Lepisosteus oculatus: one gene and its partners. The protein of the gene in region 4 purifies or fractionates together with the protein of the main gene of each other region. This does not show direct contact. Links are inferred from orthologs where the notes say so. Each region holds a gene or a part of one and is shown on either strand. Other genes may lie near its edges.

Evidence for each region.
Region 1: the proteins of usp22 (region 4) and tada2b purify together in Homo sapiens (affinity purification with mass spectrometry; 4 studies listed by BioGRID and IntAct, with this or other methods). This does not show direct contact. The link is inferred for Lepisosteus oculatus from reciprocal best matches to the Homo sapiens genes USP22 and TADA2B.
Region 2: the proteins of usp22 (region 4) and taf6l purify together in Homo sapiens (affinity purification with mass spectrometry; 3 studies listed by BioGRID and IntAct, with this or other methods). This does not show direct contact. The link is inferred for Lepisosteus oculatus from reciprocal best matches to the Homo sapiens genes USP22 and TAF6L.
Region 3: the proteins of usp22 (region 4) and atxn7l1 purify together in Homo sapiens (affinity purification with mass spectrometry; 3 studies listed by BioGRID and IntAct, with this or other methods). This does not show direct contact. The link is inferred for Lepisosteus oculatus from reciprocal best matches to the Homo sapiens genes USP22 and ATXN7L1.

Annotation. Positions count from the first base shown.
Region 1 is NC_090696.1:42,383,207-42,390,526, reverse strand, and holds the start of tada2b (transcriptional adapter 2-beta), read left to right. Parts: upstream 1-4,069; 5' UTR 4,070-4,124; coding exon 4,125-4,394; intron 4,395-5,361; coding exon 5,362-6,501; 3' UTR 6,502-7,320. Other genes in the region: cfap184 (cilia- and flagella-associated protein 184), read right to left, coding at 2,200-3,762. UniProt on the Homo sapiens protein: Coactivates PAX5-dependent transcription together with either SMARCA4 or GCN5L2.
Region 2 is NC_090713.1:21,503,669-21,511,407, forward strand, and holds the start of taf6l (TAF6-like RNA polymerase II p300/CBP-associated factor-associated factor 65 kDa subunit 6L), read left to right. Parts: upstream 1-4,615; 5' UTR 4,616-5,203; coding exon 5,204-5,214; intron 5,215-5,554; coding exon 5,555-5,786; intron 5,787-6,776; coding exon 6,777-6,863; intron 6,864-7,378; coding exon 7,379-7,529; intron 7,530-7,739. UniProt on the Homo sapiens protein: Functions as a component of the PCAF complex. The PCAF complex is capable of efficiently acetylating histones in a nucleosomal context. The PCAF complex could be considered as the human version of the yeast SAGA complex.
Region 3 is NC_090702.1:39,512,024-39,519,876, forward strand, and holds the start of atxn7l1 (ataxin-7-like protein 1), read right to left. Parts: upstream 3,205-7,853; 5' UTR 3,012-3,204; coding exon 2,915-3,011; intron 2,520-2,914; coding exon 2,451-2,519; intron 1,758-2,450; exon of another isoform or gene 1,733-1,757; coding exon of another isoform or gene 1,726-1,732; intron 1-1,725.
Region 4 is NC_090714.1:4,545,977-4,553,363, forward strand, and holds the start of usp22 (ubiquitin carboxyl-terminal hydrolase 22), read left to right. Parts: upstream 1-3,997; 5' UTR 3,998-4,789; coding exon 4,790-4,909; intron 4,910-5,800; exon of another isoform or gene 5,801-5,818; intron 5,819-6,608; coding exon 6,609-6,641; intron 6,642-7,387. UniProt on the Homo sapiens protein: Deubiquitinase that plays a role in several cellular processes including transcriptional regulation, cell cycle progression or innate immunity.

The DNA of each region.
Region 1 (7,320 bases), on a different chromosome or scaffold from region 4:
TGATATTACCTTTAAAGATAATAATCACATTATTTTGTACATGCATAAATGTTAATGAGATTAGTTGAAAAATGTTTAAACACGTTTACAGCATTGTTATGACAACCTTATATTTTGAATGTAAGTCTACTTTTGTTTCTCATGCTATACCAAAAATACTATCTTTGCAGAGTGCAGAAAGAACACGTAATACAGCTGTTTGCTCACCAGGGTAGCCTATTTGAAAATAAACTGCTGACTGAGAAGTTTGACTTTTTTCTTCCAGCTCCTCTATAATGTTTCTCCTTTGTAGCCCATATCACTGGTGTTGGCCTCGATCCCCTGGGGAAAGGCACAGCCTTTTCTCCTTTGGCTTGCTTAGCACTAAAGGTAAAATCCCCTGTGACTTAGTGAGATGATTAAATCAAACTAGGACCAGCAGTGAGTGTGTTGCTGCAGTCAACTACAGATGAGTCTAGCAACCAAGCCCTGTGCCAGAACTTATCCACATAATGTAGTGTATTTAAAGGACTAGTCTTTATCACCTTGATTTTCTGTTTCATTTGATTTGACTTTCCTGCTATGTGGTTTGTAGAATTCATTGGTATAATTTCAGTTTAGAATTTGATTTATTTACTGATCTAAAAAGAAAACTTTTACATACGAGAATTCTCTGAAAAGACTTCTGAAAACTAGTTGCCAGAAAGTGTAAAGAAAAGAGTGAAAAGGGGGGTAATTATGAAAATCCCATGAGCAAAAACTGCATATTCCCAATTGTACTTTTTATTTCAGGTCTGTCAGGTTCTTATTGTTTTTCAATCATATTTACAATAGTTAGATATAATTGCAAATAACATGAGGATGAAGTATTAAACAAAATCACACAAAACTTACAAAAGGGAATGCAATACAAAAAGCTGAAACAATAGAGTTAGATAAATGGTAGAAACTACTCCTTTTACATTCTGTTTTATGTTATTGTCTTTCTTTGCCTTGATAGGTAAATTTGAAAGAAAATTATAATGTAAGTGCTCTGTTACCCTTTATTAATAATTTCTCTTTAATGCTTGTTAAAAAAATAAAGCATTTTACCACTAACAAGTCAGAATCAACACTTATTCTGTTAGAAAAAGCTGAACAAGATTCCATTAAAAAATAATGTATAGAAATGGCAGACAGTTTGGTTATAAGAATAGTTTCCTAGATCCTAAAAAGCAATAGAACAGTAGGAGGATTTGAATGAAGAAACACACACAGGACACTTAAGGTCAGCAAAAAGATTCAAGTTAACATAAATCAAATAGTGCTTCCAATGGAATGAGATTAAATACAGGAAAGCAAAAGTTGCAGTAAGGTCAAAATACTCTATACTGAAATATGCACATCCTGAGAATGACATTATTTTTTCGGTGTCCACCCCAATGGACAAGGAGACGTCATGCTCCTGTATGCTGAATAATAATATGTCACCCATAAAGTTATTTTCAATTAAAAACAACTGTATCTTTGCTCAAATTAGATTAAGAGAGCTATTGCATTATTTGGCCAATTGAACTGTGTCCCCACATCTAAGAAATGATTTAATGTGATACAACAAACAATTGCACTTTGGAAGTGGAGGACAGGAGCTGGATACCCCAGGCCAATGATTTTTAAAATTCCACTCAACCCAAAGCATGAGATAATACAGTGGAAGAGAGCTGGATAAAATATTTAGTCAATAAGACTTTTAGATGATTGCCATTTAAGCAATAGGTTGACAACTGATTATACACAATATGAATCTACACACAAGTGACCCGGACAACAATAAATATAAAATGAATATGAGTAAAATTTATTTAAAAATATTTGAGGTTCACCCTGAAATAATTTAATTTAAAAAGAGTTCTGCTTTATCTCAACTGTGTTTATCTCAACTGGAAGGCAATCTGTTCACATTTTGTATGATAGTAATTGATATAAATCATCAATTTAATTTTTTCATGATGAGGAGACTAATGTGAATGTCAGGTACACAACTACTAAACTGTAGATTTGACTTATCTTAGAGAAATCATATCTCCCTTTCATACATAAATAGCCAACTATATAAGAAATATCTGAAAATACCAGCTGACACCATTTATTTTAGTTATTTTTTGGGTTGATTTATTTTATGTTATTGACCATGAAAGGAAATGGGTCCAGAGTCTTGTTATTTTTGGCATCTGCTGCTTTTCATTGGCGTGAAAGCTTAGCTTGCTCTAGTTTTCTCTTGAGTCCTACACATCTCAGTGTCAGCTCAGCATGCCGGCGCCTCAGCATCTCAAGCCTCTGACTCAGAGCTTCGGAGGCATCTACCTTTTCTTCAAAGTCCCGGAGCAAGGTCTCATTTCCCAGAAGGCCACACTTCTGCCGGAGCTTCAGGTTGTCCGTGCGGAGAGCATCACGGGCCTGTTTGGTCTTGGTGAGGATGTCCCTCTTCCGAGCTACCAGGGCTTCCACCTCTGTAAGTTGAGCCTTCTTTGCCTGGTTCTCCACCTGGACAAACTGCAGTTTCTCCTTGACGTGGGTGAGGACCTGGACTGTGCTGGTAATCTTCTTCCGGAGTTTCAGGAGCTCCTCGTTGCGCTCCTCAATCTTCTCGTTGTACGTCTGGTTCTCAATCTTCAACTGCTCAAAGTCGATGAGGTGCAGCCCTTCAGCCAGCTCCTCCTTAGCCTTCAGCATAGCCTCAAATTTCCTGACCTTATTCTTCAGCTTGATGTTCTCTAGCCTCACCTGGACCAGCTCGTTCTCTTTCCGCTGCTCATTGGCCTGGATCTGCTCCACTTGTGCGACAGCGGCTTGCTTTCCTAGGCGCCGGCTCATGGCTGACACTGCCACCTCCTTCTTGAAGCCCATGAAGACCTTCCACTCACTGTCCACCTGGCTCACTTTTTCCTGGGACTGGGCTCTCAGCTCCTTGATCTGCTGCTGGTAGCTCTCTGAGTCCCGCCTGTGCTGCCATTTCAGGTCCTCCATTGTAGACATGTACTTGAGGTAGCGCTGCTCCTGATCTGAGACTGGCTTCTCTTTCTCATGACGGATTTCCTCCCCTGTCTTCCTGCGGAAGTACTCCACTAACTTGTTCTGTAGCTGACCGCTCTGCTGGATAATATTCGCCTTTTCCTTCTTAAGTTCTTTGTACCTTTCCATGTATTCTTCATAGTTTATGCTTAGGGCTTCTTCCTCCTCTTCCTCCTCCTCCTCTTCTTCTGTTGGGCTTGTCTCTCTTTCTGGCGCCTCCAGCTCCAGCTCTAGGGGAGCATTTTCCTGCTGGGCCACTGGGCTGCCCTCTCGAGACAGCAGCTCTCCTATGATCTGCTGCCCTTCTTCCTCCTCTTGCTCTGCTAAAACTTCACTAGAAGGCACAACTTGCTTCTCCTCCTCTTTTACAGGTGTTGATGCATCTTCAGCAGCACTATCTCCTTTTAACTCTTCTAAGGTTTCAGCTTCAGCTTCGGCAGGTCCTCCTAGAGACTCACCTGAAACCTCATCTGCTGGCCCCTGTCTGGTGCCGGGAAGGTCACTGTTAACTTCAGGCAACTCTTCCTTTTGTTCCGTCCCAGCCTCGGTACCATCCTTTTCAGCTAGCAGTTCAGCAGTGCAGTCATTGTTATTTCCAGCTTCATTAGATTCTCCCTCGAATGTCTCTTCTTGCTTTTCGGTTTGGGACAAACCGTTAGTGTTCTCCGCTTCAGGAAGGTACTCTGTCGTTTCCTCAACAGTTTCGAGTTTGGGGGGCTGTGACGCCTCCATCGCAGTACGAAATAATATAAGAATAATAAGTCACTATTTGTTCCTATCCCGCTGTAAAATAAATGTAAATCTATTGTTAGCTGTAAAGTTAGCTCAAACTAAACACTGGGTCCAAAAAGAAAAAAAAGAACCCAAAACTGAATCACCTAGAAATTACACCTACTGTACCTTTCCTGTCCAACTATTTTATAAACCTAATGCGGTGTCTTTCGGTTGCCCCAGAAACGGGGGCGTGACCCAACCAGCATGCGCGTGATATTTATATTAATGAGACGCAGGGAGCAGAGCGGTAGCTGCTCAGTGCGCATGCGCCTGCCTTGGAGGCTGTGCAGCTTCAACAACAAGCAGCAGCAGCCTGCAACATGGCCGACCTGGGCAAGAAGTACTGCGTTAATTGTCTAGCAGATGTAACGAACCTGCGGCTTCGTTGCACCGAGTGCCAAGACATCGAACTCTGTCCAGAATGCTTCTCTGCAGGCGCCGAAATAGGCAATCATCGGCGATGGCATGGGTATCAGCAAGTAGACGGGGGACGCTTTACTCTTTGGGGTCCCGAAGCAGAAGGAGGCTGGACCAGCAGGGAAGAGCAGTCGCTACTGGATGCGATCGAGCAATATGGCTTTGGAAACTGGGTAAGTTTTCTTTTATTTTCCCACGGGATGGAGAAGAAGAGAGAGGATTACGTTTTGATGGTGACAGTTGAAATTGCAGTACTCCAGTATTGTTCTGTTTCAGCAAATGTCACGTTTGTGAGTGAGTGAAAAGTTAATTTGAAATCGGTTTCAATCAGGAGGACTGGCCAAACTATAGGTAAGATCAAAAATTACTTTGTCGGTTTTCTGAGAATGTAGAAAACGCGTCAAATTAAAGATTTATATAAAATAAAAACCTGTGATTATTAAGAGCGTTTAAACATTTTAGGATTTTGAACGCTTCGAGTGGAAAAAACTATCGCATCGCAAATACGTGAGATTTTAAATGCTATAGTAAAAATGACTGTGTAAAGAATGTGTGTTTTGCACCATCAAGAAAGTAAAAAAAACATAAATTCTTCCCGTACTACACTATACATTATTAAGAGTTTTTCTTAGAATATCCATAAACAGACACCTGCGTGCTTGTGCGATTTAGCAATTTGTTTGCTGCCATATATATGCAATTAGATATAACCACAGGCAATTATTCCAGTTTACAGGAACGACGTATTTTTGCCTACAGAAAGCTTGTGAATAGATTTTCTCCATGGATGTCTAGGACTTTGTTGTGAACATTGCCCTAGTCCAGTGAACATTGTTCACTGGTGATAGAGAGTGAGTTTTCAGTGCTGTTGGTATCCACAATGTCTGTATATCATTTTAAACCTTACTGTTCTATTTTGCATAAAACAGCATGTTCTGTTTGTGCTAAGCTTAATTTTTAGTTCTGTAATTTATCTGCATGATTGTTACTTACTGAGGGAAAGTTTTTGTATGTTTTGAGTTATGCCAGATAAGGCCATTGGCTAAGCAAATACTAAGACGTGTGTAGTTTCTCTGTAACAATGGCTGCCTGTGTAAAGATTTGTATCATTGCCCCACTAACGCAATTGTATTGTTCCAGGAGGACATGGCAGCCCATGTTGGAGCTTCAAGGACGCCACAGGAAGTCATGGAGCACTACGTGACCATGTACATCCACGGTAACCTTGGCAAGGCCTGTATCCCGGACAGCATCCCAAACCGAGTGACGGACCACACATGTCCAAGTGGGGGGCCGCTGTCTCCCAGCCTCACCACCCCACTGCCGCCCCTTGACATCACCGTCGCCGAGCAGCAGCAGCTGGGCTACATGCCCCTGCGCGACGACTACGAGATCGAGTACGACCAGGACGCCGAGACGCTGATCAGCGGGCTGTCGGTCAACTATGATGACGATGACGTGGAGATCGAGATGAAGCGGGCCCACGTGGACATGTACGTGCGCAAGCTGAGGGAGCGGCAGCGGCGCAAGACCATCGCCCGCGACTACAACCTGGTGCCGGCCTTCCTGGGCAAGGACAAGAAGGAGAAGGACAAGGAGAAGCCGGCTGCCGGGGGGGCGGCGACAGCGGCGGCGGTGGTGGCAGCGGCGGCTCCGCCAGCAGCGGCCGGCTCCTCGGCCGCGACGCCAGCCCCCAAGCGCAAGATCACCAAGGAGGAGAAGGAGCAGCGGCTCAAGCTGAGGCCCCTCTGCCAGTTCATGGCCTGCCGGGAGTTCGAGGAGTTCTTTGAGAATATGCACAAGGAGCGGGTCCTGAGGGCCAAGGTGCGGGAGCTGCAGCGCTACCGGCGCAACGGCATCACCAGGCTGGACGAGTCGGTGGAGTACGAGGCGGCGCGGCACAAGCGGGAGAAGCGCAAGGAGAACAAGAGCGTGGCCCAGTCCAAACGGGGAGGGGGCGGAGGAGGTGGGAGCGGGGGCGGCGGCGGCGGTGGTGGTGGCGGGGGCAAAGAGGAGGGCAAGGACAGCGAGTTCGCCGCAATCGAGAACTTGTCCGGCTTCGAGCTGCTCTCCGACCGGGAGAAGGTCCTCTGCAACTCTCTGAACCTCAGCCCCACACGCTACCTGACGGCCAAGACCATCATAATCAAGGACCACCTACAGAAGCGCCAGGGGATCCCCTCCAAGAGCCGTCTCCCTAGCTACCTGGACAAAGTCCTCAAAAAGAGGATTCTGAACTTCCTCACCGAGAGTGGATGGATATCGCGGGACGCCTCTTAGTCTGTCTTACTTCGTTGCCCGTTTCACTTCATTGCCAATTTGTGTGTGGTTTACTTTTCACAAGGTGTTCTGTGTGCTGTGTCTGACCTCTGTAAGTTCCGAATGGGCCAAACTACTGGACGTTATTTTTTGTTTCTTTCTACGGGAGCGTGATAATGCTGGGACTGGCGAAAGAAAGAAGTCAAAAGCTGTTTGCGGTTTATTTAAGCCTTTTTAAAGCTGAGCATGCGAGAAAACAAAATGGCAATAACAGAGTAACTGAAGAACAACGTTTGCTTCTCTCCTGTGATCTTTGCCCCAGGGCTCAACTACAATCCCTGAACTTACCAATGTGGGTGCTGTTTTACTGCAGCTCTTCGTCACTCGTGTATGGAAAAGATCTCCGTAATAACTTTGAAGTCACAACGAGGCACCGCCTTTTGTGTAAGGGAGGGAGACCCATGCTATTGTTAACATTTATCTCCTACAATCCAAAAGTCATGCTGGATTCATTTGGCTTTGTCTTGAGAGATAAATGCACGGAGAGAAAAAGTGTCATTTCTGTTTTAGGAAAGAAACTGCTTTGTACAGTTTCAGGCAGCTGGGATATTCATTTGGCCTGTTGAGTCCTTTGGGGGGGGGGGGGGGGGAGTTATTTTGTAATACTGTATATGCATCTCCCTTTTCTATTCTCGTTCTCTGAGTTTGTTCGTTTTTGTTTTAGTTGCCAAAATGTTTGTAAGAGTGAAGCTGTCCGAGCGGGCTTTGTCAAGGAAGAAAGAGCCAAGTGTATCGTTGTTAGGGTCTGGTACAAGAAGGTCTTTTAGAAAAAGGACAGAA
Region 2 (7,739 bases), on a different chromosome or scaffold from region 4:
TATAACTGGCTTGGTCCTGGTCCTACCCCAGCCCCGCCTCAGGGAGAGGCAGGGGCAACAGTAATCACCCGAACAGCATCTCCACACCCTGGTGCTTTTTGTAGCAGAAATTCACTAAGAAAAACCTTTTACCTGTAGCGCATCTGTATATAAGTGTCTCTTTAAGTAGCTCTTTGCTGGAGAAGAAATAGATTCCCTTGTCTTGTCAAGATGTTTGACCTTTAAAACCCAGCTGGAATTGTTATCGATACCCATTCAGACCGAGATCCTGCTTTGGGAATTGTGCCTGGAAAAGCTGCGTCCTCTCCTTCCACAGCCTCAACCCATCCCCCCTCACCCCTGACCCCTGACCTCTGACCCCAGGCCGAAGTCTTACCCCTAAACCCTGATCCAGAGTCAATGACTGGCTTTGTCACGAGGTCTCCTCTACCCAAATGTAGCTCAGTGCATGGGGGGTGGGGGGGGACTCTAGATTTTAAAGAGGCGTTGAGTTGTCTTGTGTGGGCCAGCTGTGTGCTGTAAACACACACACACACGCACACACGCATAGGGAATAAAGCACAGGTGTCTCAGAAACCTAGCAAGGGGGCTGTTTCATGAAAGGAAAACCAAGGACGATACGCCTGCAGTGAAGTCAGCCCAGTGATCCGCTGAGCTTCTCCTTTTTCGAACGGGCAGAGTTTGTTTCTTTGTCCAATATGACTTATTATCATTTTTTTCAAAAAAGACGCACAGGCGCGCACATGGGAGAGAGAGACAGTAGATTTCAAAGACACTGTTGGCCCCCCCCCCCGACGCGTGCCCAAAAGAAAAAGACTCAGACTCGGGCGCCCAAAGAACCCAGGGTCTTCAGCAGCACGGCTGGGTAGCCTGTTCCACACCCCCACCACCCTTGGTGAAAACAGATGTCTCCTGTTGTTGATTTTAAATGCTCTTCCACACAGTTTCCACTGGTTTCCACTGGATCCCCTGCTTGTTAACATGAATACTCTTGGCTGCAAACTTGAATCCCCATCAGTAAGACCCGGGTTGGAGACCCCATGGCCAGTTTTTCTTCCAGCTCAGCTCTCCACTACTTCCCGAAATCCTTTATTCTTTCATTCCTTTCTGGCTTAACATTTGTCATCCTTTACAGTGGCCAAATGGTTCAGAGTCTTCATTATCGTAGTTTTAAATAGAGCTAAAGAGGATTGGGTGATTTCTAATTATTTAAATGATCGGGTCAATTAGGAGATCGGTTGAGTAGCTGAGAGCTCAGCTGGACGCAAAGCTAGACAGTGGAGTGAGCAGGCAGGACTGGAAGGGTCCATTCCCCTATCCATCAGATTACATCCATCCATTCCTGCCTCTATCCCTCTCTCCATCAGATTACATCCATCCATCCCTGCCTCTATCCCTCTCTCCATCAAATTCCATCTATCTATTCCTGCCTCTATCCCTCTCTCCATCAGATTCCATCCATCCATTCCTGCCTCTATCCCTCTCTCCATCAGATTCCATCCATCCATTCCTGCCTCTATCCCTCTCTCCATCAGATTCCATCCATCCATTCCTGCCTCTATCCCTCTCTCCATCAGATTCCATCCATCCATTCCTGCCTCTATCCCTCTCTCCATCAAATTCCATCTATCTATTCCTGCCTCTATCCCTCTCTCCATCAGATTCCATCCATCCATTCCTGCCTCTATCCCTCTCTCCATCAAATTCCATCTATCTATTCCTGCCTCTATCCCTCTCTCCATCAGATTCCATCCATCCATTCCTGCCTCTATCCCTCTCTCCATCAGATTCCATCCATCCATTCCTGCCTCTATCCCTCTCCATCAGATTCCATCCATCCATTCCTGCCTCTATCCCTCTCTCCATCAGATTCCATCCATCCATTCCTGCCTCTATCCCTCTCTCCATCAAATTCCATCCATTCCTGCCTCTATCCCTCTCTCCATCAAATTCCATCTATCTATTCCTGCCTCTATCCCTCTCTCCATCAGATTCCATCCATCCATTCCTGCCTCTATCCCTCTCTCCATTCAATTCCATCCATTCCTGCCTCTATCCCTCTCTCCATCAGATTCCATCCATCCATCCCTGCCTCTATCCCTCTCTCCATCAGATTCCATCCATCCATTCCTGCCTCTATCCCTCTCTCCATCAAATTCCATCTATCTATTCCTGCCTCTATCCCTCTCTCCATCAAATTCCATCCATTCCTGCCTCTATCCCTCTCTCCATCAAATTCCATCCATTCCTGCCTCTATCCCTCTCTCCATCAGATTCCATCTATCTATTCCTGCCTCTATCCCTCTCTCCATCAGATTCCATCTATCTATTCCTGCCTCTATCCCGCTCTCCATCAGATTCCATCCATTCCTGCCTCTCTCCCTCTATCAAATTCCACCCATCCGTCACACACTCATCCACAGGTAGTGGTTACAGGAGCAGCACCAAGTGTTTGGAAACCGCGGGGGTTTTATTTGTGAATAAAAGTGAGCCCGCCCCTCTGATAAAACACCACCTCTAAGCTGCAGAAACCTTGAGAAACGAACCCTCCCCCCACCCAGCTCCTCGGTGCAGAGCACCTGCAGAAGAAGCTCAAGCAGGGCGCTGCATCAGCAGATGCAGGCTGCACAGGAACAAGGAAAGGGTTATTCCCTGCTGGGAAGAGAAGAAAAGAAGCACAACGTTTCGGATAGGGAAGCCTTCTCCGGGAGTGAGCTCAAACACTTAACCTCAACACCCGAAGGAGGATCCATGGCTGAAACGTTCTGTCTCCTTTCTCCTCTTTTCAGCGACAGAAATAAGCGGCACTCTCCCTTTCTCCAAGTGCGGCGGGCCTGAGATTCGGATCAAGAGTCTTTTGGGGGTTGTTTTTTTCCAAAAAAGGCGATAAATCGGTACAAAGGGTTTGTTTGTTTTTTTTCTTTTTCTGAAAATGTGCGGCATTTCGACTTGTTATTGTCACAGATCCTGGCAAGAAAAATGGAGGAAAAAATGTTTTATCTTACGAAGAATAAAAAAAAAACAATATAAAAAACATTCTATTTCAAACTGCTTTCCTGTGTCGTCTGCATGAATCTAGAAATGCATCCGTTTCCATAAAATAATTTCAGCTTCTCTGTGTCCTCACATCCTTCAACACCGCAAGAGGGCTCTGAGTACATCTCAGCCAGCAGCCAGATCACCCTGCAGCTCCCCACTGGCAGCCCCACTGGAGCCCAGCAGTGTGAGCCTGGCCAGTACCTGGAGGGGAGACTCCTGGGAGAGCTGAGGCTGCTGCTGGAAGAGGTGTGAGTGGGGCCAGCAGGGGGCGCTCACCCTGTGGTCTGTGTGGGTCCTGATGCCCCAGTATAGTGACGGGGACACTTTAATGAAAAAAGACACCGTCCTTCGGATGAGACGTAAAACCGAGGTCCTGACTCTCTGTGGTCATTAACAATCCCAGGGTGTTCTTGTTAAGAGTAGGGGTGTTACCCCAGTGTCCTGGCCAAATTTCCCCCCTGGCCTTTACCCCTCATGGCCTCCTAATAACCCCCCTCTCTGAACTGGCTCCATCACTCTGCTCTCCTCCTCACTGAGAGCTGGGGTGCTGGGGAGCTGCACACAGGTGGTGGTGGAGGGGATCCCCATTACCTGTAAAGTGCTTTAAGTGGAGTGTCCAGAAAAGCGCTATGTAAGTGTAAGCAATTATTATTATTATTATTAACTCTGGGTTGAGCTGTTGAAGCCTGTAACCCTGAGCTGAACATCAGGGTTACAGGCACAGCCTGGTGCTCTTCAAGTTTCCCAATGCAATCTGTGACCCCACACCACACCAATTTTCAAAGCACAATAAACTGTGAACAAGACATGTGGGAGAAGACACAGATGTGGATGAAGCCAGGTAGGAGATGGCTTTGTTGTTCGATTAATTGCAGTCGGTGCTGGTTTCCTTGGTGTCACAATAGCACCCAGCCAAGCGAGGCTGCACAGACGAAACAAGGTTGTACTGTTGCAGTGACTTAAACTTTCTTTGTGTTCAGGATGGCTGTGATGCACTACAAATGTGTTTAAAATACAAAAGCATGCATTGTGTACAGAGCAAGAGGGCGGTATCTAAACCTCGGGGCATTTTGATATATTTAAACAATTGTCAGTTGCTGTAAGTGTGTCCCCCAGTATACTGGTTGAACAACACGGCCTTGTTAAAAGTTTCCCTTAATTCATCTGGTGCAGGAGTTCCTCTCTCCTCCCCCTGATCTGCTGTGCAGAACGGCCGCTGTGAGTCTCCCAGGTGGGGCCGCTGGTGCAGAATGATCACTGTGCGTCTCCCAGGTGGGGCTGCTGGTGCAGAATGAGCACTGTGCGTCTCCCAGGTGGGGACTTCTCTTCAGTGGTGAATGTAGCTGTGTGCCCACCTTTGTGCACAGTGCTTTGGGTCTGAAAAAAACACTAATTCAGTGCATGCATCTACATTCAAACAGAGGGAAAACAAACAATCCCGTGCAAAGCTCTTTCAGCGTCTCTCGAACGGAACAGCGTCATTCCACGCGGCGCCCTCATTGCGTCACACGCCGCCGCTTGTGTGACAGCCCCTGCGGCCAATCGCTGCGCGGGAAGGGCGGGGCTGCGCGGGCCCGGAAGCTGGATGTAGTAGTGCAGGGGAAGAGCTGAGCGGGTCCGTGTTCGGGGATCACAGGCAGTCCGGTTGTTTGAAGGTACAGGGCAGCCTCATGGGGTTTCAAATGCAAGGTGTTATGAGCTTTGACGGTAATGGCTTAAAAATGGAAGAAGGCGAGAGAGAATGAAGTTAATTTGCGATTTTGCGATCCAGCTTTCTGCACGAATGCTGCACAGTACGGCAGGTTATCTGTTGGTGGCGAGTTTCGTCGATATGGGCAAATTGGAAATTGAAGGTGACAAAATGGGGACTTCAGGTTGATAGCCGTGGTTCCGGACCGAAAAACGGCTGAATTATTTCAAAGGCGTTCTCTGAAAGTGAGCGCTGGGTGCCAGCGGGAGATTCTGAAGTCGCTGCACTTTGTGCGCGCTGGGAAACTGCTGCACAGAGGCAGGAGAGCTGAAAACAAAGTTAGGAACAGCAAGCTAGAGCTGACTGTCTGACCTCTTCTTTCATCGACAAAACATAACGAAAAGCCCCGAGAGGAACTGTCCTAGTCTTGACATCAGCGCGCGAGAAAAAAAAAGGCGATATGATTGTTCTGATATGAGACAGAGGTGTGCATGAACGGGTTTTCCTCTTCTTCTTCTTCTTCTTCTTCTTCTTCTGTCTTCCTAAATGCGTTTTCTGGACCAAGCCGGCCCTCGGGACCACGTCAGCGCTCGGCGCGAAACTAGGAGCCCCGCGCGGGCAGTAAACAGGAGATGCTGCTTTACACCAAGAGCGGTGGAGGTGTGGAGCAAGCCCGCACGCAGTCCGTGTTGGTTGACCTGTTGTTCAGCTAATCGAGATCGAGGCTTAGTGAGCTCTGAGCTGCCCTATAAGCAAGAGGAGTTGAAAGGTTTACTCCTGTTTGCAATCTCTCTGGTCTGTTTTTGTTTTTTTTTGCCCTCCTAGGTCTGTGAGGAGTTCTTTTCCCCCCTGTGCTGTTCCGGAGGGTCCTGAAGAGAGGGAGAGGGAGGGGAGGGGGGGGGCGTTGGCGATGGGGGACCGCGAAGAGAGGCGGTTCGCGGAGGTGCCGCGTGAGTCCGTTCGTCTCATGGCTGAGAGCGCCGGCGTGGAGCTCAGCGACGACATCGCCGCCCTGCTGGCCGAGGACGTGTGTTACCGCCTCAGGGAAGCGACACAGGTATAGTCCGAGAGGGGGATTCTGGGGATTCAGTGAAGGAGTCCCATAGCCAGCAGCCATATCCCCCTGCAGCTCACCACTGGCAGCCCCACTGGAGCCCAGCAGTGTGAGCCTGGCCAGTACCTGGAGGGGAGACTCCTGGGAAAGCTGAGGCTGCTGCTGGAAGAGGTGTGAGTGGGGCCAGCAGGGGGCGCTCACCCTGCGGACTGTGTGGGTCCTGATGCCCCAGTATAGTGACGGGGGACACTAGACTGTAAACAGGCGCCGTCCTTCAGATGAGACGTAAAACTGAGGTCCTGACTCTCTGTGGTCATAAAAAATCCCAGGGTGTTTCTCGAGAAGAGTAGGGGTGTTACCCCAGTGTCCTGGCCAAATTTGCCCCCTGACCTTTACCCATCATGGCCTCCTAATAACCCCCCTCTCTGAACTGGCTCCATCACTCTGCTCTCCTCCCCACTGAGAGCTGGTGTGGGGAGCGGACTGGCGCCTCATCCAGGTGGGGGTACACACTGGTGGTGGTGGAGGGGATCCCCATTACCTGTAAAGCGCTTTGAGTGGAGTGTCCAGAAAAGCGCTATATAAGTGTAAGCAATTATTATTATTATTATTATTATTATTATTAATTATAATTATTATCCCTGGGGCCCGCTGCGTGCCTGAGCCGCTGGAGCAGACCGGGCTGCGGTTCCCTCCGCTGCCACCAGGGGGCACTGCTCCATCTCGCATCACTGGGGCAGGAAGAGAGTGCTTCGCTCACCCTAGTGTCCCATAGGGGCAAGTTAGCTTTGCAGGCAGGTGAAGACATCACGCCCCTACGGGATCGTTCCTTCCCACCGAACAAGAGGAGAAGACCCGTTGCCCGTCGCTAAAAGTGCAGCCGTTCGCCTCCTCCACCACTAGGGGGCGCCGCTGCACGTCCCGTCCCTGGGGCAGGCAGAGGACGCCCGGCTGCCCTCAGGCTCCTGAGGCGCTGTGCTTGTCTCCCCGCAGAGCGGCTCGCAGTTCATGCGGCACGCCAAGCGCAGGAAGCTGACCGTGGAGGACTTCAACCGAGCGCTGCGCTGGAGCAACGTGGAGGTGAGACGCCCCCCCCGCCCTTGTCTTGACCAGCCTGGGGGAAGATTTTAACCCAGGGCCCAGCAGGTGTGAGCCTGGCCAGTACCTGGAGGGGAGACTCCTGGGAGAGCTGAGGCTGCTGCTGGAAGAGGTGTTAGTGGGGCCAGCAGGGGGCGCTCACCCTGCGGTCTGTGTGGGTCCTGATACCCCAGTATAGTGACGGGGGACACTAGACTGTAAACAGGCGCCGTCCTTCGGATGAGACATACAACCGAGGTCCTGACTCTCTGTGGTCATTAAAAACCCCAGGGTGTTTCTCGAGAAGAGTAGGGGTGTGACTTTTGTGCCGATTTCAGACGCCCAGGCAGGGCGTTCCAGCTTCCTGCAGGCGGAGCTGCACCGCATAGTTTCTGCCAGCAGGGCGGCGCTCTGAGAGCAGCAGCAGCAGCAGGCAGTGTGTGTGTGCCGTGCTGCCCATTTGCAGGCAGGCGGGCCTGCTTGGTTGACAACCCCCCCCCTCCCCACCCCCCCTGCAGGCGGTGTGTGGGTACGGCGCCCAGGACGCGCTGCCCTTCCGGCCCCTCAAGGAGGGGGAGCTGTACTTCGTGGAGGACCGGGAGATCAACCTGGTGGAGCTGGCGCTGGCCACCAACATCCCGAAGGGCTGCGCGGAGACCATGGTGCGAGGTAGGCAGTCCATCACAGGACACGCACACACACACACGCCAGGGCCAATTCACCCCCCCAGCCTGTCTCTGGACTGTGGGAGGAAACCCACTTGAACAAGGGGGAGAACACACAGACTCCACACAGACAGCACCCTGGGGCCCCAGAGCTGCAAGGCAGCATTGCTGGCCACTGCGCCCTGTTTTGATGACATTCCAGCTGGAAATCCTC
Region 3 (7,853 bases), on a different chromosome or scaffold from region 4:
GACTAAAACACAGAACTGAATATCTCAAAACTGTGAGTGCAACTGAATATGCAAATTACACCAACCACAACGGAATTTACTTTAGGAAAAGTAGCGATTATGTCTTTGCATGCAATGAAGATCCCACCATTCACATGGTTCTAATTATGGTTAAGAATGGATGTATTTATGTGTAAATGAAATTGGGCTCTGGTACGGTTCCTCAAGATAACCTAGTTTTCCACCTAGACAGGCCTTGTATGAAATTCAAACACTACTGCCATATTATACTCAATATGCAAACAATCTGCTGCTAAAAGCATGAAGGAGTGGCTGTGTGCAGTATTGTGAATTTGTTTTTCTCTTGTTTTTTACATTAGACTATAAACTAAATATAACTCTTACAAAACAGTAGCTTGTCTTCATGAACAACACATAATACACCACACCAATCATCTTTTAGAGAAAATTCATAGAGATTCCAGGATTGTACAATGTAATTAAAAACCACAATTTTAATTGGGTAAGCAGTACGGTATCTCAGCCTTTTTAGGTAGAAAGAGAGGATTCTGAAATTGACTAGGGTACATTTGTACATAGCATAACTTTTTCAGAACCAATTGTTTGGCTAATATGTATTGTCTATACAGGCTCAAGTAAGGAGGCGCTTGGACTTCAACCGAAGCCCTGCAAAGCTGTGGCACTGCATTGCTGGTAGGAGTTGCCTCACTTATCAATAATGCAACATATTAATTGGAGACCTGCTCTATGACATGTTGGTTTCTCTAATGCAGCTCGCAAATGATTCACATCTGTTCACAAGATGTATACATGGAAAAAAGAACACCAGTAAACTCCAGCCAGCTCTCCCAAAGCAGTTGTGAGAAGTAGTGGTTAGGGTTCTGGACTCATCACTAGAAGGTTGCGGGTTCAAATCCCAGGGGTGGCATTGCTGTTGCACTCTCACATTAAGTACTGCTCTCAGATTATGCCAGTAAAACACCTATCTGTACAAATGTCAGTGGGTTGGAAAAATCTATCAGTAAAATAATATGTAAATATGAATTATTCCTAATTCAACAGCTATTCTCATTTGTGCTACCCATAATGTATGAAAAACATAATTTTACACTGAGACAAGTTAATGTTAATTATATGGTACCATATTCATACTATGAATATAAATATATCATGCTTTGAGTTTATAGACAGTGCTTATTTTGAAATTGTACACCTGCCATTGCCTATATAGAAAAAAGGTATTTTATAGTTTTCAACGGTTTGTTTTTAATTCTATAGAAATGACCAATCCAGCAGGCTGATATTGTCCTCACAGGAATAAAGAGCTAACATGTGGCCTGTCTCTTACACTATGAGGCTCTAGCTCCCCTGGGCTGTCACACCTGATTGACTCCAAAGACAAACAGGTTCTGCCCAGTTCATTAAGAGCCTCAAGGAAGTAACTCTGCTATGCATGCCGAAAGTCATCTGTCCTGAGAAGCCAGGACATGAAAGATCATGTCCCAGTTCACACAATCAAGTCCAATGCAAAGATGGAAAGAGTAAGGTGTCACAACTCTGCCATGTTCTCCCAATCACTAGACCTAAACTCCACTGACAGTATGTAAAAGCTATCCTTGACCAACCTCTTACATGCCTCGAATTAATCTCCTGAATACATTCTCCGTTAGAATGAACAAACCAGGACACAGACCTCATTTATGTAATCTCTGAAAGCAGTCCTACCTTGCATTAGCTACCACAGAGTTTTAACCCCATCGAAGTTCCAGTAGAGCTTTGTAAAGCTGTAAAATAAGCAGAACTTCTTTCAAACCTGTGTGCCTATTTGCTTATGACAAGCATCTCTGCAGGGACAGGACTTTGAACAACCTGTTTGCTACGCCACCAGTAAAACTACTAAAACTCTTTACAGGTTGCCACAGAAAACGGTGAAGCTTGAAGTGAAAACGCCACGAACTGCTGCTAACTGAGGCATCATAAACTAAACCTTATGATGCCCTAATAACATAGCAAGAGCTTTTCCCCCAACAGACGCCAGCTTATTGGCCGGGGGGAAAAATGACGCACGTTAAATCGCACCTTCCTGAACACTTCCACAGCCCACGGAGCGTCGTACATCTCCGAGAGGCATATCACTAATATCTGATCCTAATCATGACTTCTCTGTAGTGCCACGCTGAAAGCCATCTACCGGTGCGCCAGCATCACGCTGGATGTCTTGCAGACCGGCAAGCAGCCCTGCGTGTTCCGTCCACAGCTGTAGTGAAACTCGAGCGGCGCAGCGGCAAAGTTTATTCTATGGGGAAGTTTATCGGGCAAACTCGCACACAAAACCCAGGTTGTAAGGACTTGGAAAGTGTGCCTGGTTCTTGTAACGCGTTGTCAGTGCGTTACTTCAAGCCTCCTGTGTGTATGAGTCTGAAATTAACACCATTCGCCTCTCAACTTACCTTCTTTATTGAGTCTCATCACTTCCCTGCCTTTGCCAACCTCTTTGCCAGTCTCTTCTAAATCTACATCTGCGGACAAACGCAAAGAGAGAAACGTCAGGAGTGTTCTCCAAGTAAATCTGAAAAGTGAATTGCCTAATCTCAGTTATTTTGTGTACCTGGCCCACATAGGTGCGAACGTACGGCTACAGTACAGAGCAGACAGCAGTGCAGGACATCTGTCACAGAGATACTTAATACAGAGATAACGTATCAACGGGAAACACGGCGACACTTAAAACTCAACAGCAGCAAACTGTGAACCCCTTTGATTCTACATACTTATTTGATTTCTCAGGCTGTGTATTTATTATAAAAAGAGAAGCATGGAGGACACCAGTGGCCACTCTAACAATTTAACAGCGTTGGAGCACAATTTGAATGACTCTGCGTGGAAAACAAGCTTTATTATGCCGGGTCCTTACTGTCAGAGCAGTGTAATTTGGCTGCGTCGATAAAGGTGGACCAGGGTTTGCACAGGAACGCATCCGGACTGGGCAGTTTGCGATCCAATGTCGCCATTGCTCTTCCTTCTTGTTGCTTTTTTCCCTTTCCTTCGCCAGTCAGCGACACGGGACTTGCGAAGCACCTGACGTCACATTCGGCTCATTTCGGCTTCAGCCGTCAGTGACGGCTGGATGAAAAAGAAGTGCAAATGTGGGAGAGATAGTTCAGTAAAAAAAGAAAAAAGTTTAATCTTTTTTTTCCGGGCAAGAGAACAGCACAGTATAGATCTAGAGCTATATTGTTGTATTTGACCAACATTATTTCTACAATTTCTACAAAATGAGGAATATTTGCAGTTGTAAAAATACTGATTCTTGTCGCATATGTTAAAATACAAATGTCTGTGACGTCTATGTGATGTTATTGAATGTATATCCTATAATGGGATTATATTTTAAAATAACTGTTATTAGCCACATAACTTGTTTTTACAAAACGCGCAATTATATTTCTAGAATATGTTACTACATTACGTTTACAAAAGCAGGTTGCAACAGGTCTGAAAACCATCACGCTCAGTTATCTTAATTCCCAATTCAAGTATCAGTTGAAGTGCTGGGAACAAAAATTAAATGTAAATTAAAATTAATTAACTGTGGGTGGCATAAAATTGAAATCGTCTTGCTCTGTGAAATTGTTTTAAGACTGATTATCACATTTCAGATTTCCATGCAGATATTTGAGCGTTACATAAAGGAACCACTTTATCTATAATTGTCGCAATACAAACACGAATGAATGTTTACCAAGTAGACATTTTCGAACCAATTACGTCATTCCGAATGTAATCACTAGATGACGCTAAATTACCATATTATTTATAGTAAAGTTCATAATGTATTACTAATGTAATGTAAATTGACATTCCAAATTAATTGTGACTTTCTTAGTTAATTAGTTTTAGCCATTCAGCTGAATTAAGAGAGAACCACATAAAACATAGGTGTCCCACTACTAAAGCCTGGCACTCTCACTATTCCTGGCTCAGCGTTGGGAGATGGATGCCCGGAAGCCCACCTACCAGCGGGTCCAGGAGAGACCCGACGGCATAGGCTTTATCACAGCGTCTTGACCATCTGACTCCGGGGCTCAGAGGGCATGGCCTCGTCACCCTGGTTTTTACTCCCTGTTCCTGTTCCGGTTTTTAACTGTGTTTGTTTAGTCTTGGTTGGATCCCCCGGTTTTGGACTTTGGACTGCACCCCAGATTCCCCCTTTTGGACTACCTGAACTGTCTGTCAACACACCCTGGTCCTCTTCGTCTCCTCCCCTGATGTCCTTCTCCACTTACTTCCTGATTATACCGTCTGCATACGGTCCTGAACTACGCATCGCTGGAGCCTGGACCGGCTTCCGTTATAGTATTCCTGCAGGACTAGGACTGGGAGCCACTGAGCAAGATCAGGCATTGAACAGGCCATGTGCATCTATGAGTTTTCATTCCAGCTCATCTCTTATCAAGCTAAACTAGGTGGTTACTGACTTAAGCTTTACTCTTCAGGTGCTGCGGTTGTGAAAACCTGCAGACACATCAGCCTTGCAGGACCAGGAGGACCAGGACTGGACACCTCTGATCCAGATCAAGACGTCTATCAATAAATAGATGAATTCATTCAATAACATGGGCTAATATTTAAATAGACATCAAAAAGGTATTCTGTTTTCCAAAAGTTTAACAATTACCACACTGACTTTATTACACAGGAGAGGTTGTGTAATAAAATTAAATTACACTGGACAACATTGTTTTCCTGCATACATTTGGGTAAATCTGATGGATTTGGGGCTGCTGATCACATAGTAACCATGGAATTTCCATATCACACAGCATTTTTTTAAAACCGCCTATATTTGTTATTTCAAATAATATTTTGGCCTATTAAAATGTTGCCGTCAATATAAGCTGGAAAAGTTATTTCTTTCTTGTGTCCAGACATGCCTTTGTATGCCATTGCACCCAGTGCAGGTCATAAAACACTGGAGTAGTAATGCATCTGTGGTGATCTGAAATTAGTGGCACTGCTACTAGGAATGCAGCTTGGATACACCAAGTACTGTTGTTTCATTTCTGAGTGGCATAGTTGTGCTAAAGATTCTCATTACACTAAAAGGGACTGGCCACTCCACAAGCATTTGGTTCCAGGGCAGAAGAATGTAGCACATAAACCACTTGTTGATCCAACAAAGATATTTTGCCACCTCTTCACATCAAGCGTGGACTCAAGAAAAATGTTGTGAAAGCAATGAACAAGGAAGGTGAAGGATTTCAATATTTGAGACAGATCTTTCTAAGAATAAGTGATGCCAAGTTTAAGGAAGGTATTTTCGTTGCTCCACAAATCAAATAGGCCATCAATGACAGACAGTTTGAAGAAAGTCACATGGAAGGCATTCAAGAATGTTGTTGAAAACTTTCTTGGCAACTACAAAGCACCAAACTATGTCCAGTTGGTTGACAACATGCTTCAAATATACAAGTCCACGAAGTGCAAAATGTCACTAAAGATTCATTTTCTTCATTCGCATTTGGACTTCTTCCATGCAAATCTTGGTCAGTGACAAGCATGATGAAAGGTCTCCCCAGGACATCACGAAGATGGAAGAATGGTATCAGGGCAACTGGAATCCGTTAATGCTGGCTGATTATTGTTGGACATTGATCAGAGAAGCATCAGATACCGAGTACAAATGAAAATCATCCACAAAACATTTTTAGCTCAGTTGAACTAATGCAAGGGCTCAGCACCATTATGTGATTAAACGCATTATATTGTATAAAAGTTCATTTATTTTTTCTCAATAATCCCACATGATACAAACAGTCTGAAATTGTATTTTTGTTCAACATCAAGAGATCTATCATAAACAACAAACATTTCTGAGGAAACAACACTTTTGAAAAAAGTTGTAGTCCAGTGTTATTATTTGATTGTGTTGAAGAAAAAACTTTTATGGAATTTCTCAAACTACTGAAACTGCCAATGGGAATGATCAGTGAAACCACACAAATCAGAAAATGTCAATTATTATCAGAAGTGAAACTGTCTTTTCACTGATATTGGAAAAATATATCTATAGATATCACTCTTTAATTAACTGAGGTATCTTCAATTACAGTATTTATGTTTGTTGGTCCACATAACAATACAATGGTTGTGCAGAAGAGGAGAAGAATGCCATTTTAAAAAGAAACAAATAGTGTTTTCAAAAGAATGATCTAAAATGTATACGTTGTTCATAATGCATAAACAATATTGCAGTTGATTTGTATAAATTGGGAAGACCAGTGGTCCAAATACAGCAAATATACACAATTTGTGCATTTACAGTATGCAAATAATTATAAGCATATTAAGCAGATCTTTAACAGATAGGTGCTATAAAAAGCAGCCCTTTAAAAGACCAAGGTTGGCTGTGTTTGAGCCACAAACGGCTGTTCATACTTCCCTGCAATTTTTAGTGCATTTTATACTGCTCTTAATTGGTCTTCCAACAATCTCGCTAACTTGAATATATTTACCCTTCACCTGAAGAATACTTGTGCTTCAGCAGTTTTATGCTTTGTCTTTCTACCTTTTTTTCTCAGGCTACATTATTCAACAAGGAAGTGATGGTGAACTTCTGTTGCATACAGTTACCAAGGTAAGAGTAAACATAACTCTTTTTATGACAGCCTGTAAGCTCTTGTGAAAGATATTTCTATTTATTCGGTGACGATATTAAATAAAAGAAAGCACACTACCATGCCTGCTCATCAGTCTTTTATTTTCCAGAGAGTTCTCTGTGTACCATTTATCTCACTTAAATTCAACTGGCTGATATGATTCATATATCAAGCGTTATTTTACTTGTTTTTCTTCCACTGACCTCTTCCATTGTAGTTGACCTCTAAGATCTCAAGTACCAATAGAAAGAACCTTTTGCTATCCATTTCTATCCATCTATAAATAAATACATTATGCAGCCTTCTTGTTTACATCTAAATGAAGAGGGCACCAGTCATCTTGGCACAGGGATTGACAGACAAAATCAAACATATTTAAACTTGAATGGAAGGAGGAGGCAAAGTAGAGGGGAGATGCTGAGGGAAAATATGACACATCAGTTGGAAAATTAAGTGAATAAATCTAATTATGAGTTTTAAAAACAAGATGCATGACTTAGATCTTACTAAAGCAGCAGGCAATTATTATATTATTGGAATCACAAACACCTGGTTAACATTGTACAACAGGAAACAATATTAGTGCATGCAGTGTTCCAGAGAAACAGAAACAAAATTAAGCAAACATCACTGTCCTTCATCCTTGTTAATTTCCTACAGCTTTTGTTTATGGGGAGGAACCAAACACAATCACTGGCCACTCCATGCAAATTCAATTAATCACAGACCATTAGCCTTTCCACTTCTTCCTGCTGGCATTCTGTGAGCATGACCTCTATGCTTTAACCACATTTTCTATGAGGACCAATCCGACATCATCATTAGGCCTAGCAATAGGACCTCACCTACAATATGGTTTGATCCCTCACCTACAATATGGTTTGATGCAGAGCTACACCTGCATCAGACCTTCTCCTTTTACTGAGTTACATCATAACCACTACCTCACTAGCCCAAGTCTAATTTGAAGCATATTCTGAACACCACCTGAGTTTTGTTCAACAATTTAATGGAGACAGCCAATTAATGTTGACTACAGCAAGTAACCAAAATATAAATGATATACCATTATTTTCCAACTGTACCAATGTTGAATACAATATAATGTAATTATTATTATTATTATTATTTCCAATTTCTCTTCAAAGGCTAAGGAAGGTGCACTTTTGGGTTTGAGACCAGAGTGATGTAGTG
Region 4 (7,387 bases):
GGACCTATCCAAAATCAATTAGGTTAATTGCATTTGTTTTAAATACAGAGCAATTCCCTACCCGTATATCTTTAAATGGTGTTCTGTTAAGAGCTAATCAGACAGAAATAGGTGATCAGCTATTTATTGAGCAAACTTGGGGCCTGCTTTAAATCGATCTACACACCAATTACAATTCTAAATCAGAACTGGATCACAGCTTTTAATTGAATTGATGCAGGAGGCTTCTGGCACTCGGATAACCACCATTAGAAGATACCTGAGACGTTTGCACAAAACAGGCAGGTCAGTTTCCAAGTGTCGAAGGCGGAGAACACGGCAGAGCTCAGTTTGCTACATATCTTGGATCAACACACTAACATCTGGGAATATCCGAAATCAATAACGAAGTGGAAGAAAACGTGCTTAAGAAATATAATTTTGAAATTAAATTCGATTCCAATTGTGGGTTTAATAAGCCTAAGCAATTACGAGCTCAGATGGATTGAAAAACGGAAGTTAGCGGGGAGCTGGAGCACCAGAAAAGCGTTGTGTAATTCGTCTGTCTAGCATTGGAGGGCAGACTTGTACCTTAAATTACAATGCACCTTCGCCACATAAGAATTACACATTATTATTTTTTCCGTGTATTTTTTTGTATTTTCGTGACCATTATATTTTTTGCGTTATGTTTTGGTAGGGGGTTCCCAGTTTGAAACTTTTGCAATATGTATGCAGTTCTTGTTCAAGCAATGTTTTTTTTCCCTACAGAGCAAAATTTGCTACATTTTTAGATCGTCACACTTGAAATATAAACATATGTTTACACTCGATTAATGCAAAAATGATGGCTCTCAGGTGGTGCTTGTCTGTAAGGGTGCTTATTGGAAGTTCAGGATTGACTAAATTCTTCATATCTGTCCAAACGCTGTGGAGTTCACGTTTTGTCAAAGAAAAGAGCCGGAAGAGGGCGCTCGTTGTTCTTTTTTCGTCCCATCCGAAGTGAACCGTTGGATTTGCAAACCAATTGCTTGAAAGCAAGTGCAAGACATTCGGTGCTATCCGTTGGGGAATGTGGAAATAAAAGATTTCTGGTTTTGTTTTGTTTTGTTTTTTTTGTTTGTTTTTTTTTTTGGGGGGGGGGGGGGATTTCTGGAAGTGGCTAAAACAAACACCACAGAAACAAACTCCTATGTTGAAAAAAGAAACAGTACTTGAATTGAATATGAGCATGTTTACAAACAAGTAGAGGTCATTCAGCCAGTGCAGCTCATTTGGTTATTGGATATTATAAGTGGCTAACAGATCCAAGGTTTATGGAGTAAGACAGATATTTTTAATATTTTTTACTCATGAACAATATCGCTGTGTACAACACAGGTAAATGTGGGGTGACTGGGCACATTCCAGACATTTGGAATGTGCTCTAATTGTATTCAGTGATGATCCTGGTCTTACACTTGATCTCATCTTTGACAGACAGGCAATGTCGCATCTGCAACATCATTGTGAAACCAGGGGGTTTCACTGTCAGGACCCACTTACTCCACCTTGCTATGCTTCACAATTCATCTTCCAACACTAATATTTAGGATATTATACGAAACGTTTTGCATCATTAAAAGAGGGATCATTTACAAGACAATGCACAACAAATCTGTAATCTCACTGGCAGGTTACCACAATATTTTATTAGCTGTAATCAGATTTAATAAGCATAGATTAAAAAGGTTGTTTAGAATTGAAGAATACAGGATATTCACCATTCATTATAGTGCCATATCCCAATGGTGTCTGATTTAGGGTTGATTACAGTGAGATTAAAAAGATTCATTCGGATAGATTGGTCCAACTCGATGGTTCTCAAACCTGGTCCTGAAGGACCACTACATTATCTGTCCTTAAGTCAAGTCCTTAATTGAAATGTATTTCAGTTTTCTGTTTTGGGTGTTTTTTATTTTTTCACTCAATTCCCCTTTCAACACCCCCCTCTCACTCAGGCGGCGAGTTAGACTTCAGCAGGAGGGAAAAGCAAACACTTAAGTGTCTTTCCCACCTGCGTGTGCTTATCTTGAATCGGTCACCTACAAAGGGGTTTTCATCGCAAAGAAGGGAGCAAATTCTTAACTAGATTGTGGAGGGATGGAGTAAAGTTATCCATGCTGAAGTTATTGGAAACTGTTCATTTTCACTAGGGTGTTTTTGAAACCATGTGCTGATGAGTGCTGGGTCCAGCAAAATGTTTAAACAACATCAGTAACAGGCATCAATTATCACTGGTCATCAAGGGCCCAGTTTGAAGGAAAACCAGACATGGATGTTGCCCCAAGATTGATCTACAGACCACTGGTATATAAATGGGGTTTATATATATGTAAACAAAATATACAGTATATAAACACGTACTCATTATGTTTATGATTGATATGTTTGCAAATTGTGCTGTGGTGTGCTTGAATCCTTTCTGTGAGTCTCCCACTGGGACCTACAATTGTAAAATATTAGGACATGTACAGTATATCAACTTCCTATTCCAGACTTGACACACATAGAAAGGTACAATCAGCCCCCAAAAGCAGTTTAGATTGGAGCCATCTTTTGTATACAGCGTATATAAGTAACTGATGGAGAATTTAAAGCACTAAAGGGAAGTATTCTCATAATTTCCAAGCAAAAATGGTAACTAAAGTAAAATAAAGGGAGAAAGCATCCCTTCCCTAATGGAGCTTCTGTATACATTCCATGTTGCTCAGGTTTTTAACAGGTGAATTTAGTCCACCTGTCCACAAGAAAAGCTGTGCAGAATGGGTTTTCATAAGAAGGTATATTAATATACCACGTGACTTTTGCAGGGGTTCATACTGGGTTGGTACAGTTGAAAGGCAATGTGGACAAGATCACACTGAAGTAGACTTCCATATACCTGATCTGATAACACAGGGGGTTTTGTCTGTCACATGCTCAGCAATTGGCTGTAGCAGAGAGAGAGCACTAAAGTCTACTCTGCATATGTTAAACTAACCAAAATATGGGTTCAATACCCAAAGCTAGGATGAATCCTTCCAATACATTAATCCATCCATGTCACTTGGGAAGATGCTTTCTAGAAACAACTTCACCTTAACCTTTAACTGAGATGGCTTTTTCTTTTACTTGACTTTGGAAGCTACTGCAGTAAACTGCAGCTATAACTGTCCATCTTGATTATGCCACCCCCTTGTAGCATTATTAACATTAAGATGATCCGTGTTGCTATATTCTCTCTTCTCCAAAAAGTATATTTAAATGCGGTCAACATTTCGGCAGACAAAGCCTACATCAGGATGTTTACATCTGTAATGCCAAAACCTCTTCTTACCAGCTTCAATAACTGTTCCAAGACTTGGTTGTACTGTATTATTAATATTACTTCAGTGTATGTTATATATTCAATAAAATGTATTACTGTCTAAATTTGGGAAATTATAGCCCAATCATTCAACATCTGACGTAATCCGTTCCGATATGGCAGAGTTAAGGCAATTTTTGAGTATCCCCTGTACAAAATCACGCCTGATTCGAAACTTTGTTCCTGAAAACAGCTGCCAATATGTATTCCAAATCAAACTGGGTTATTTCTTTTAAAACTGAGGGGCCAAACTTAAATCTACAGGAACGCAAGCGAGGTGACGCCTTTGCGTCTGTTTAAAAACCTAGCCCTGGCGTTTGAGTTTTTTTTTCCTCCTCTACGTGAGTCGCTGTTTGTCGTTAACAGCTAACCCTAAAGCTTGCCACCACAGCGGTAGTGTAACTCTGGAGCAGGGGAGCCAGGGTAGACGACTGGGAGGGGGGGAGGACAAGGCAGCCGTTTCCGAAAAACGTGACGGCTTGGCAAACCCGGCGGTATTGTTTTGAAGCGCCGGCGTGCGCAGCCCCGGCTGAGCTGCTTCCGCTGGAAATCTCTCAGGCAACTGAGCACGCAGAACCAGCGGCGGAAGTGACGCAAAACGACACGGCCGGAACACCCACACAACAACCTGAGCGGTGTGGGAAACCAGCTCGGCTACGCCAATCACAGCGAAGCAACAGCCTAGCCTGCCAGGGCGGGGGAGTCGGATGTCTGTAACGTTACATTTCTGCAAACGTCCTCCCGCTTTCGTGTCTCTGCGTTTTTTTTTTTTATTTTAACAGCAACCAGAAAGGGACCGCGCTTCTTCGGCTGCCCCTATACGTATAACATCTCTCCCTGCAGCAGGTTCTACCCTTCATTAAAGGAAGAACACCTCTCTTTTTTTTTCTTATGTGTGGTGACCGAAACCACTACGGATCCTCAGACGGCCTCGGCAATTGCTCCCTCCGTCTTTAACCAATCGTCGATTTGGGAATCCGCTGGAACCCCGCCTTCATGGCGAATGACGTCTCCTAGCACCAACCCGGGCCGGAACGTTTACCGCACAAGGGCGTGGCTCTAACGGGAAACGACACCCACGCCAGCCAATCCGCGGCGCCGGCCTGCAGACGGTGGCCAATGAGGTCGGGCGTGAGGCGGGACTTTCAAAGCTCGCGGTGTTCTGTTGAATTCCATTGCCGACCATTAAAAAGAATCGGGAGAGTGGAAGTGGAAGAGCGAGAGCGGACGAGACAGACAGACTGGAGAATATTTAAAGAGACAGAGAGATTAATTTAAAAAAAACGGATTAATTCGGAAGTCCCAGTTACCACGGATTTCGGCTGGCTGCCCCTTTAAATCGGAAAACCTTTCTGGATATTTCTTTCCGAAACGCTCTACCTATCTAAAACAAAAAACAATAAATTGAATGTTGTTTCTGTCATGAGTCCGGCCGGGTGCTCCCATGTGAACAGTTTTAAGGTGGAGAATTGGAAACAGAATCTACGACTCATATACCAGTGCTTTGTGTGGAGCGGGACTGCAGAAACCAGGAAACGAAAGGTAAAAAAAAAATGAACCAGAAAAAAAGGACAAAAAAAAAGCAAAATGCACATTTAGTTATGCATAAGCTGTTCCACAGTTGCCTTCATTTAAGCACAGATCCCAGAGACATCATTCGCTTGGGGTATCGGTGTACGAAAAGACAGAAATGTACAACACAGCAGGACCATGATTAGCGTTATGTGTGGAGCTCCGCTGATTGAAATTGGGGGGTGTTGGATGGGAGGCGAGAGGTACCTAACGGTAAACAAAACATCAGCACCAAAAACGCTAACTAATGCTTTCTCCCCGACCTCATCCCTCTTCCCCCCCGGCCAAGGGGTTTTCTTGGTGAAGTGTCGTCTTGCTGTGTGCATACGCAGTAAAGACGGTCACTGAAAATGTTCGGCGAGCCAGCAGTGCCTTGTGGGAAAACACACAGCACCACTAAGCACCAGGAAACGCGAACGACATTCAAAAATATGCCCATTTTCTGCATTGTGCGGTGCTGGTCTCCTGCCTCCGGTACTGCAGCCCGACCTGGACTGCGTGTGTACAATTGGTGCGGCGAGGCGCCTCTCCACCACCTCAGCCGTTTTTGTTCGGACCAGATAGAGAGAGGAGGAGGAGGAGGGGGAGAGGCGGTCACGCATAGAGGAGGAGGAGGGGGGGAGAAAGTAGAACATTTCACGCCACCTGCGTTAAAATTTCGGCGGATTCCACGCGTGGGGGGGGTGCTCGCGCTTGTCCCGGAGCAGAGAGGAGGGTGCGTGGGGTGGTGGGGGGGGAGGAGGCCCACTCCACGGTTCGGACCGTGCTGGGAAGTGGGGGAAATTGTTCGGGACCCGGGCGGCGACAAGGACACCGAACTGCACTAGTTCCAGTCCCAGCGGCGCATTGTTTACCGACCTGCGTCGCCACGAAAGACCGGTGTGTTTGTCGCCTTCTTTTTGGTTTCTGTACAGGCGGGGAAAAAAAATCTCAAACCCGGCACCTCCACTTTAGTCCGCACCTCCGCTAAAGCACCTATTGTTGTAAACAGGAGGGGGAAGAACCGTTGTACCCCTTCCACAACTCGCCCCTTTCCTCCACAGGACCCTTCCTTCGGTAGGGGACAGGCCCCTGTAACCCCCTTTTTTTGCTGACCGTGCACCCCCAGGTCTCCGGTTACCTGCTCTGAGCTGCAGTCTGCTTTTTAATGCATTTTGTTTCGAGTTCACCCATTATTGCATAACCTCTCCCTCACCTCCCACAGCCCCAGCCGGAGCCCCTGTCCTCCACTCCAAACGTGTGCTAAGTGCCTGGCCCACACAGCATGCAGGGTGTGGGGGAATTGAGTTATTAAGAAGGCACAGTGGAGTATTGGTAACAATATCCCAGCCCCCTCTCCACCTTATGGGGAAAAAATACAGTGAATGCACACTCTGCTTATCAAAACTGTCAAGTTCTAATTTCCCCAAACGTAGCCTGATCCACCTCCAGATATCATAGATCACTCTCCTCGCGGAGTTTTGCTTTGTGCTGTTCAATTCAATATTGTGTGTTAGGGTCTTAAGTATTGTGAATTGTGTTGCATTTAACTGGATATTTTTGATGTAGAACGTTAAACCTGACAGTAGGGCCTTTAAGGGTTTCTTGTATCCAGTTTAATAGTGACTTCAAGGCAATGAAAAGACTTCTTACATGTATTGTACATTTTTATTTCATTGTGACAAAATAGGTGCTTCAGAAAGATGCTGGATGGACACCCCTGGTGAGTGCAAATCCTACATGTATTTACATAAATAGAGGCCTGATATTTTCTTTGGTATCTTATATTGAAGTTTCTAACGTTCTGTACACAAATCCGATGCAACTAAAGCATTGGGTGTGGTATTAGGTCAAAAGAAAAATAACCAGCAGGAGCATTTAACAAAGTACTTTAACAGTGTGGTGGTTGTACATTATAAAGTGCAAATTTGAATGTTCTCGGTAAAGTCTGTATCCTGTAATGTCAACTCACTGGAGTGCAGCACGTTCCTAATTCCATTTGGTGTTCTGGGCTCAGAAGCAGCAAGAAAGCCCCAATGCTGGAAGCAGTGCAACAACAAAAAGTAATTAAGGGCTCTAATAATCACATGGGGGCAACACAGAGGGTGCAGTCTTTACTACCATTTCTGCCTTGCAGCACTGGGGCCCTGGGTTCAATCCTGGACCTGGGGTGCCATCCACACGGTGTTTGTATGTTCTTCCCCGATTTGCTCGGGTTTCTTCCGAGTGCTGTGGTTTCCTTCCACAGTCCAAACACATACTGCTAGGTTAATTGGCTACTGGGAAAATTGGCCCTGGTGTGAGTGTGTGTCTGTGTTTGTGTCTTAAGCGTGCCCTGCGATGGACTGGCGTCCTGTTCAGGTTGTATTCTACCCTGTGCTCGATGCTGGCCGGGATCGGCTCCGGCTCCCTTGTGTTGCTGTGTTGGATGAATAGTTTAGAAACTGGATGGGTGGCTAATTATATTGT